Cricetulus griseus: one gene and its partner. Each later gene encodes a partner of the first gene's protein in a complex. Links are inferred from orthologs where the notes say so. Each region holds a gene or a part of one and is shown on either strand. Other genes may lie near its edges. The genes, in order: Ubl4a and Bag6.

Region 1 (4,568 bases):
GCCCTTCTATGCTTTCCTGATGGCCAAAGTCTTCATGCTACCTAAGGCCTTAGCTCTTGGCCTCATCATTACCTGCTCATCACCTGGCGGTGGGGGGAGCTACCTCTTCAGTCTCCTCCTTGGAGGAGATGTCACCCTGGCCATCTCCATGACTTTCATCTCAACAGTAGCTGCCACAGGTTTCTTGCCACTTTCATCAGCCATCTACAGCCGCCTTCTCAGCATCCATGAAACACTCCACGTGCCCATCTCCAAGATACTGGGGACTCTGCTGTTCATCGCCATCCCCATAGCAGCAGGTGTGGTAATCAAGTCTAAGCTCCCTAAGTTCTCAGAGCTGCTGCTACAGGTCATCAAGCCCTTCAGTTTTGTACTTCTCCTGGGTGGCCTATTCCTGGCCTACCACATGGGGGTCTTCATCTTAGTGGGAGTCAGGTTACCCATCGTACTGGTGGGCTTCACAGTGCCCCTGGTTGGCCTTTTGGTGGGCTACAGCCTAGCCATGTGCCTGAAGCTGCCAGTGGCCCAGCGGCGGACAGTCAGCATTGAGGTAGGGGTACAAAACAGCTTGCTAGCTTTAGCTATGCTGCAGCTGTCTCTGCGTCGCCTTCAAGCAGACTATGCCTCTCAGGCCCCCTTCATTGTGGCACTGAGTGGTACCTCCGAGATGCTGGCTTTGGTTATTGGCCAGTTCATCTACAGCAACTTGTTTCCTGTTCCATGAGGACCCTGGATCAAGTTTTATAACCCCAGCCCCCATACTCCATCCACTGTCCCCACAGTTCTGTACCAAAGGCCTTTTGTTCTCATGCACTATGCACTCAGACAAATCCAGGCTTTTTTTTTCCAGCTTTCAGTGCCAAAGAGGCCATGCTGAGTTAGAAATATATTTCAATAAAAGACAAAAGCAAGCTTGGGTCCCTTCCAGTCTTTGTCCCTTGGAGTGTATGGATGGGGATAGGAAGAGTGTGTCTGGGTTGATATGGACCAGGATGGTGAACAGGCTTGGTGACCGTGCACAGAGCCCACTCTCTCCTTCCTCTGTGCTTTGCACATGGTAGACAAGTGTTGTACCTTTGAGCTATATCTCCAGATCTGCAAAGGCTTTTCTCTATCAGAACAGGGCAGGACTCTGTTCTATAATGAGTGAAGAGATAGAGGCCTAGGTCCACTACTTTGGAGCCTCGGCCAGGATATTTTTGCAACCAGACTAGAAAGGAAGAAGTAGAAAGCCATTGGGCTATGGCAGGTAGGACTGGACCATTTCTGTATCTGAGAGACACTACTACATGTTTGCCCTGATGTGGTCCACCAGCAGGGTAGGAATTAACAGGTCAGGCCTTGCATGAGGCTGACATTCTGGTCCTTCCTTTCAAGCCACAGCTCCCCGGTGAAGCAAGCCTGACCCTACAGATTCCTCGCTCCTATCCCAGTGGGCGGAATGGCCCCACTTCCCTGCACCAAAGCCGCTGGAGGCTTGTGGGCCCAGGGCGGTGGACGCTACCCCAGGCTCAGGCAGGCGCAAAGGCCTGGAGGCGGGACCGGGCGGGAGCCACGCGGCGGGCTCGCCCCTTTCACGGCTTCCGGCGGCGGCGGGCGGTTCCGGCGCGCGCCCGGGGCAGCGGCGCGCGGCAGGGGACCATTGGGGTTTACATTGGTCCTAGTGGACGCGGCTGTGGGCATCATGCAGCTGACCGTGAAGGCGCTCCAGGGCCGGGAGTGCAGCCTACAGGTAAGGTTACCCTGCAGGCTGCTACACTCACACACTCCTGCCGCTGGGGCCAATGGCGGGCGGGGGAGGCCAGGAGAGCTAACCTCAGGAGGGGGCACTAGGGCTGCATCGCCCAGGGAATTCGGACTAAGCCCTTGCCTCTCCACCTCGGCCGGATCAGGTGCCGGAGGACGAGCTAGTGTCTACACTGAAGCATCTGGTCTCGGATAAGCTGAACGTCCCTGTGCGCCAGCAACGTCTGCTGTTCAAGGGCAAGGCCCTAACAGGTAACCAGGGAAAGGAGCCATCCAGGGACCCCCCACAGGAAGTAGGAAGTTGGAAGTTGGGGGACGGGATGTACAGGCCAGTGTAATGGATTAGAGCAGTGGCTGCCACTAAACCTTGGAAAAGTAGCTGAGACGCCACCACCCCATAGCCAGATGCTGCAGTGTTTCACTCTAGCTGTCCATGGCAGGATTGCTCTCTGGCCACCCCCACAACAATGAGGAAGGAACCCCACCAATCTCTCTTTGGCAGATGAGAAACGACTGTCAGATTACAACATTGGGCCCAATTCTAAACTCAACCTAGTCGTTAAACCTTTGGAGAAGGTGCTGCTGGAAGAAGGGTCTGCCCACAGACTGGTCGACTCCCCACCCCCACCCCTCTGGCAGCTGATCTCCAAAGTCCTGGCCCGTCACTTCAGTGTAGCAGATACCAGCAGGGTCCTGGAACAACTACAGAGGGTGAGCAGAATAATTCTGGACCTCCAATCTTAATGTTTCTAGCCCCAGCCCCCACCTATTACAGCATACCCCTTCCTGCTTGCACCCCCTGAACCCACCTGGTCTTCTCTTCTCAGGATTATGACAGATCTCTGAGCCGCCTAACACTGGATGACATTGAACGTTTGGCCAGCCGCTTTCTACACCCTGAAGTAACTGAGTCTATGGAAAAAGGGTTCTCCAAATAGCATTTCTGGGAGTGGGGGGAGAAATCCCAGGTCAGGCCACAGCTGCATGTTGCATTAAATGTGTTCTCATGTCGCAGTTTGGCTCATAGTGATAATAATAGCTGGTATGTACCCAGTTCTTGCTAGGTGCTAAGCACTACTCAAAGTACTTGGCCTGAATTCTCTTCTGCCTTCCACAGGACAGTTGAGGCTGCACTGTAGAAACACCTAGCAATGGCTTGGGACAGCCAGAATCCAAGTCTAGCCAGCTGTAGAAGTGCCTCTGTAGGAGAAAGAGTGTGTTGTTTTGAGGGATGGGCCTTAACATTCCCATTTAGCCCACTCAACATACACACTCAAGTGACTCCCTCAGGAAGCCACTAGTCCCTGTCACCTGTCCTCTAGTATGTCTGGCATACCCTTGGCAAATCTCCATAGGAAGCCAAGTGGTAGCCATCCAGAGTCCCTCTGCTGCTGCAGCCAGTGTGCTCTTGATGAATGACAAAGTCAGGGGCTGGAGGATCAGAAAGATACCCTAGCTCCGTTGTATGGCTTAAGTCAAGTTTCTGTGCCACTTAGGTCCCCTACCATTGAGTCTGTTAGTGGTGACCACTCCTCTGACCTGAATAAGTTTCCTTCCCTCTTTCCCGGCTCAAGGTGGGAGTCTGCTATCACCAACTGCAGTGCCATCTTGTGTTCAGTAAGCAAACTGAAGCCAAAAGTGAAGTGGTAGCCAAGCATGGGCCACAGATGGAATATCCTGGGCCTTTGTGACATAGCTCTTCTTGGGGGGACCCTATCTGCTTGGCTCCTCCTGGAAGTCGGTCTCATCCATGAGGGACAGCAGGTGACTCCACAAAGCAGTGTCACAACTAGGATTCTTCCTGGGTCTCCTCACCCAGCGTTCTCCCACAGCATGAGACGGATGCTTCCTCTGCCACCTGTGTACAGGGACTTTCAGTTTGCACACCTTCATTGCTTAAGAAGAAACTCAGGGTGCTGAGGAGGAGATAGAAATGTAAGCTGAAGACAGTGGTTCTTCTTTTCACTGAACCTATGCCTGGGTGCTAAAGGTCATGTAAGTACTAGCTCCTTTGAGGAGGACCCCCTGGGAGCAGTTGAGGCTGGAAGATAGCCACCTGCAGGACATTACTCCTGCCCCTCCACTCTTGCCAAGGAAGCAACTCTGAATGTTGTTGGGACTACACTGGCCTTTCTTGCCCAACGGCCTCCTGCATGGGCTTTGGGCCTTGTGGGACAAATCTTGACTCCCCATAATGGAATGATAAACTAAAGTGAGGCCTGAGGGGATGAGCAGCTGGTAGACCCTGCTCCTCCCTGAGACCTGGGGTACCACATCAGGGACCTGCTTGTGAGCACATATGTGGACTGGCAGCTCAGATAATAAGCTTACCAATGTCCTTGTTCACTTTGAGTCAGGGAATGTATTTGGAAAATTAAATAACACTTAAGGTGCATGTGAGACTTTTTACCAAGACGAACTCTATTAATAAACTAGTCTGCTTTTGGTTTCAAATAATTGGTTTAACAACACAGGAAACTTACTGGCTTACAAAAGTGAAAAAGCCCAGGAGTACTGGCAGTTGATGAACAATTTCACCAAACATCCAGCTTTTTTCCTGCCTCCCTCTGAATTCTCCAGCATCTGCTTCATCCTCACCACTACTTCCAAGGATCAAAGGGTGGCTGCCTGCAGCTTCATCAAACCATTTGCTGCCAGCAAGGAGCACTTTCTCTCTGTAACATAGCTTCTGTCTCAGATGCCCCAGCAAATAAATGCTCTCTTATTGGTCAGAACTGAATCCTGTGTAATCACTGGGGCTTGGCATATGGAAAAAGGATTTGTTGGTTATCAGTTAACACCTACTCAGGTAGTCTTGATCT
Region 2 (4,494 bases), on another chromosome or scaffold:
TATAGGCAGGAAGAATGCCTATACACATTAAATATAGTTATTAAAAATAGGTGGTGGTTGTTTTAAGTCAAGATCAGAATCTAGCTCTTGCTGGGCGGTAGTGGCGCATGCCTTTAATTCCAGCATGTGGGAGGCAGAGGCAGGTGGATTTCTGAGTTCGAGACGAGCCTGGTCTACAAGAGCTAGTTCCAGGACAGCCTCCAAAGCCATAGGGAAACCTTGCCTCAAAAACAAAAACCAGAATCTAGCTCTTTCCTCTTCTCCTGGGCCTGTTGTTTTGTGCCTTCTTGATGCAGTTTATGTTCTTGACCCTGTGATCTTTGTCTTCTGCTCTTCCTTCTCTGCTAGGCATCACAGACTGCCCCTCCACCCCCTCCACCTCCTCCACCCCCACCCCCTGCCCCAGAGCAGCAGGCCACACCCCCACCAGGGTCCCCTTCTGGTGGAACAGGGAGTCCTGGAGGCTTAGGTCCGGAGAGCCTGCCACCGGAGTTCTTCACCTCGGTGGTACAGGGAGTGCTGAGCTCTCTGCTGGGCTCCCTGGGGGCGCGGGCTGGCAGCAGTGAGAGCATTGCTGCCTTCATCCAACGCCTCAGTGGATCCAGCAACATCTTTGAGCCTGGGGCTGATGGGGCTCTTGGTAAGCAAAAAGGGGGTGCTATGGTCTTGGGAACTAGCGGGTGTGTGTGTGTGTGTGTGTGTGTGTGTGTGTGTGTGTGTGTGTGTGTGTGTGGTTGGCCTTTCTTTACTAAGAAGGATTAGGCTGACAGCTTGTGGGGCTCGGCAAGCAGGGGACACAACTGCTCACTTCTGCCCCTCTCCCTAGGATTCTTTGGAGCTCTGCTCTCTCTTCTGTGCCAGAATTTCTCCATGGTGGATGTGGTGATGCTTCTCCACGGGCACTTCCAGCCACTGCAGCGGCTCCAGCCACAGCTGCGATCTTTCTTCCACCAGCACTACCTGGGTGGTCAGGAGCCCACACCTGGCAACATCCGGGTAAATGAGAGCCCAGAGCCCAGAGCTTTCCTTCCTTCTGGCCTCCATCCCTTAATCCCGGCTGCTTTCTATCAGTCAGTGACAGTTCTACTTCGGCCCAGGCCTTGGGCTTGCATGGGACAGGTGGGACTAAACCTGAACTGTGATGTTCCCCTACAGATGGCAACCCATACATTGATCACTGGGCTGGAAGAATATGTACGGGAGAGTTTTGTGAGTATGCTTTATGTGTTTTCTTCCTGTCTAGGTTTGGGCGGGGAAGCTAGGGGTCCCTGTCACCTCCTCCTCCTAGACCCTCATGGTTCTGATTTGGAGATCTTTGTGTGTCTTGTCTCAGTCTTTGGTGCAGGTTCAGCCGGGTGTGGACATCATCCGGACAAATTTAGAATTCCTCCAAGAGCAGTTTAACAGCATTGCTGCGCATGTGCTACACTGCACAGGTCAGGCAGGGCTGCCAGGGAGAGGGAAGCACTGCTCTGTAGGACTGGCAGAGTCATGGGCCCTCTCGCATCCTCCTTCCAGACAGTGGATTTGGAGCCCGCTTGCTGGAGCTGTGTAACCAGGGCCTGTTTGAGTGCTTGGCCCTGAACCTACACTGCTTGGGGGGACAGCAGATGGAGCTTGCTGCTGTCATCAACGGCCGAATTGTAAGCACCGCCCGACTCTTAAGTCTCTAGCTCCTTTGTTATTATGTCTTGCAGTTTTCTATTTCTCCAAGTACTGCACCTATTGCCCGAGATGTAGATTGCACAAGTTGTAAGTCTGCTTTCTAACCCTCAGCGTCGCATGTCTCGTGGAGTGAACCCATCCTTGGTGAGCTGGCTGACGACTATGATGGGACTGAGGCTTCAGGTGGTCTTGGAACACATGCCTGTGGGCCCTGATGCCATCCTCAGATACGTTCGCAGGGTTGGTGATCCCCCCCAGGTAAGGGACCTAGTAGGCTGTGGGGTCAGGGGACATAAGGACACTTGAGAGATGGACTGTACTGATACCCCCCCCCCTCCTTTTATTTCTTTGTGAAATTCCACAGACACTTCCTGAAGAGCCAATGGAAGTTCAAGGAGCAGAAAGAACTTCCCCTGAACCTCAGGTATCAGGAGAGGTGGAGAGGCCAGATAATGTGTAGATGGCTGGGCTGTAAGAAAAGGCACTTGGGGGCAAAGAATTCTGAAGTCTGGACCTTCCTGCCATCTGCCTTCCAGCGGGAGAATGCTTCCCCAGCCCCTGGAACAACAGCAGAAGAAGCCATGTCCCGAGGTCCACCCCCTGCTCCCGAAGGTGGTTCCCGAGATGAACAGGATGGAGCTTCAGCCGATGCAGAACCTTGGGCAGCTGCGGTCCCCCCAGTAAGTGGCAGGAGGTGATCCAGTGGGTTTAAGAGCTGTGAGTTGTGAGAATTATTTCTAACCCTTTCCTCCCCAGGAATGGGTCCCTATTATCCAGCAGGACATTCAGAGCCAGCGAAAGGTGAAACCTCAGCCGCCCCTGAGCGACGCCTACCTCAGCGGTATGCCTGCCAAGAGACGCAAGGTTGGTCTGTCTCTTTCCTAAGGTGTCTCTGTCCAGAACCCTTGTTGAGCTAGAGGCTTTTGCTTGCTAGTTCAGTTTCTTCATCTAGTTAGGAAGCCTGTTTGGGGGTCAGGCTTGTTCATGATTTGTGCACATGACAACATGGGCCTTCATCTTACTGTTTCTGGCAGTTCTGGTACTCGCAGCTGTGTGATTTCCCAAGTGATTAGGGTCTTGACGAGTAGCTAGCTCTGAGTCTCAGGTGGTCTGACCTGCTGGTGCCATCTTTGTAATCAAACATTTTTTTTTTAGCCATAGTTAGGAAGGCATTTCTGCTGTGAAAAGCACATGCAGACTGTTTCCCCGCCCTGTGCTAGACTGGACACTGGTTAGCTGAGGGAAAGGGGGAACTGGACTGGACGCTGGTTAGCCAGGGGAAAGGGGAACTGGACTGGACTGGACACTGGTTAGCCAAGGGAAAGGGGGGACTGGACTGGACGCTGGTTAGCCAGGGGAAAGGGGAACTGGACTGGACTGGACACTGGTTAGCCAAGGGAAAGGGGGAACTGGGTTGGTGGCAGGGGGTCTGATATTGATCCCCTTTTCCCTCTCCACCTGTCCCCAGACAATGCAGGGTGAGGGCCCCCAGCTGCTACTCTCAGAGGCAGTGAGCCGGGCAGCTAAGGCAGCCGGAGCTCGGCCCCTGACAAGCCCCGAGAGCCTGAGCCGGGACCTGGAGGCACCAGAGGTTCAGGAGAGCTACAGGCAGCAGGTGCCCCCACTTTGCAGCAGAATAGGGAATGGTCTATTGGGAGGGGTTGGGCCAGGTTCCTGCTTCCCTGAATCTATCCAGAGATGAAGCCCCCGGTTGGTGGTCAGGGTTTTCCTTGTGGCATTTGGGAAGGCTCAGCAATCTCATTGGCCTAGCCAGCTTGGTTGGTGGGGAAGTATTTCCTGAGGGTTGGTCTTTGCACTTGCTGGGATCATAGGGCTAAACCAGGGCTCCTCCAACCTGCTTGTGTTTTCTCTTTGTAGCTCCGGTCTGATATCCAAAAGCGACTGCAGGAAGACCCCAACTACAGCCCCCAGCGCTTCCCCAATGCCCACCGGGCATTTGCTGATGACCCCTAGCTTTCTCACGGGGGGACCATTCCCCCTTCCTTCACAGTATTTAAGAAATAAAAGTCGGATTTTCCTGGCTTCTTTGTCTGGTAGTTAGTGTTGAGTACCTTCATTTTCTCCCAACATTTCATCCAATCCCTCCGAACCTAGTACACGTGTATAGCACACTCTGCTTATGGAGCTTATGCAGGCCTATGAGTGGTTGAACTTTTGTAGGATAGTACTTTAAGCTCAGGCCAGCTAGTAAGTTTTGCAACTTTTGCTTTGGTCTCTGGAATGTGAAGGCCTAATGACATCCCTGTGCTGAAGACCGGAAACAGCAGGCAGCTATGTGGTACTGAGGTGGTTTAAACTGAAAATGGCTCCCCACAGGGAGTGGTACTATGAGGAGGTGTGGTTTAGTTGCAGGAAGTGTATCACTAAGGGTGGGCTTTCAGGTTTCCGATGGTCAAAGGAGGCCCAGTGGCAGCTTTTCCAGGACTTCATCTGCCTGTGTCCCACCTGGATAGTGGACTAAAGCTCTGAACCTGGAAGCCCACCCCAATTAAATGATTTAACACGGTGATGGTTTCTTCACAGTAATAGAACCCTAATGCAGAGTTGGTAACCGGGACTGAGGCATTGCTGACCATGCTTTTGTTGGGCCATGTTTGAAGTGTGTAGCCGTTCATAGCAGTGTGGTGTCGAGGGTACTGTGAACTGTGTAGGCCTGGCTTGAGAATTTAGGCAATACCAATAAGTGACCCCAGAGCTGTGCTTGTGATATTTTGGTGAGGAATTTGGCTTCCTGCCCTTGTCTGCCGGAGACTAAATTGAAGTCAAACCCACAGCTTTAGCAGATTTCCAGACAGCTTAATGGTGATG

Evidence for each region.
Region 2: the proteins of Ubl4a (region 1) and Bag6 are in contact, whole or in part, in a crystal structure (PDB 4X86), measured with the Homo sapiens proteins. The link is inferred for Cricetulus griseus from reciprocal best matches to the Homo sapiens genes UBL4A and BAG6. Residues at the interface, in NP_055050.1 of Homo sapiens: Val95, Leu98, Ile99, Val102, Leu103, Arg105, His106, Phe107, Ser108, Asp111, Arg114, Val115, Gln118, Leu119, Asp122, Tyr123, Glu124, Ser126, Leu127, Ser128, Leu130, Ile135, Leu138, Arg141, Phe142; in NP_001092004.1 of Homo sapiens: Gly1052, Pro1053, Leu1055, Leu1057, Ala1060, Val1061, Ala1064, Ala1065, Ala1067, Ala1068, Ala1070, Arg1071, Pro1072, Leu1073, Thr1074, Ser1078, Leu1079, Asp1082, Leu1083, Glu1087, Val1088, Ser1091, Tyr1092, Gln1095, Leu1096, Asp1099, Ile1100, Arg1103, Leu1104.

The regions. Positions count from the first base shown.
Region 1 is NC_048604.1:1,347,315-1,351,882, forward strand, and holds Ubl4a (ubiquitin-like protein 4A), read left to right. Parts: upstream 1-1,570; 5' UTR 1,571-1,684; coding exon 1,685-1,732; intron 1,733-1,892; coding exon 1,893-1,998; intron 1,999-2,248; coding exon 2,249-2,457; intron 2,458-2,573; coding exon 2,574-2,648; coding exon of another isoform or gene 2,649-2,684; exon of another isoform or gene 2,685-3,320; coding exon 3,321-3,437; 3' UTR 3,438-4,486; downstream 4,487-4,568. Other genes in the region: Slc10a3 (P3 protein), read left to right, coding at 1-724. UniProt on the Homo sapiens protein: As part of a cytosolic protein quality control complex, the BAG6/BAT3 complex, maintains misfolded and hydrophobic patches-containing proteins in a soluble state and participates in their proper delivery to the endoplasmic reticulum or alternatively can promote their sorting to the proteasome where they undergo degradation.
Region 2 is NW_023276806.1:231,668,666-231,673,159, forward strand, and holds the end of Bag6 (large proline-rich protein BAG6), read left to right. Parts: intron 1-348; coding exon 349-640; intron 641-826; coding exon 827-996; intron 997-1,155; coding exon 1,156-1,209; intron 1,210-1,333; coding exon 1,334-1,436; intron 1,437-1,518; coding exon 1,519-1,643; intron 1,644-1,776; coding exon 1,777-1,923; intron 1,924-2,029; coding exon 2,030-2,089; intron 2,090-2,201; coding exon 2,202-2,345; intron 2,346-2,421; coding exon 2,422-2,529; intron 2,530-3,133; coding exon 3,134-3,280; intron 3,281-3,543; coding exon 3,544-3,639; 3' UTR 3,640-3,722; downstream 3,723-4,494. UniProt on the Homo sapiens protein: ATP-independent molecular chaperone preventing the aggregation of misfolded and hydrophobic patches-containing proteins.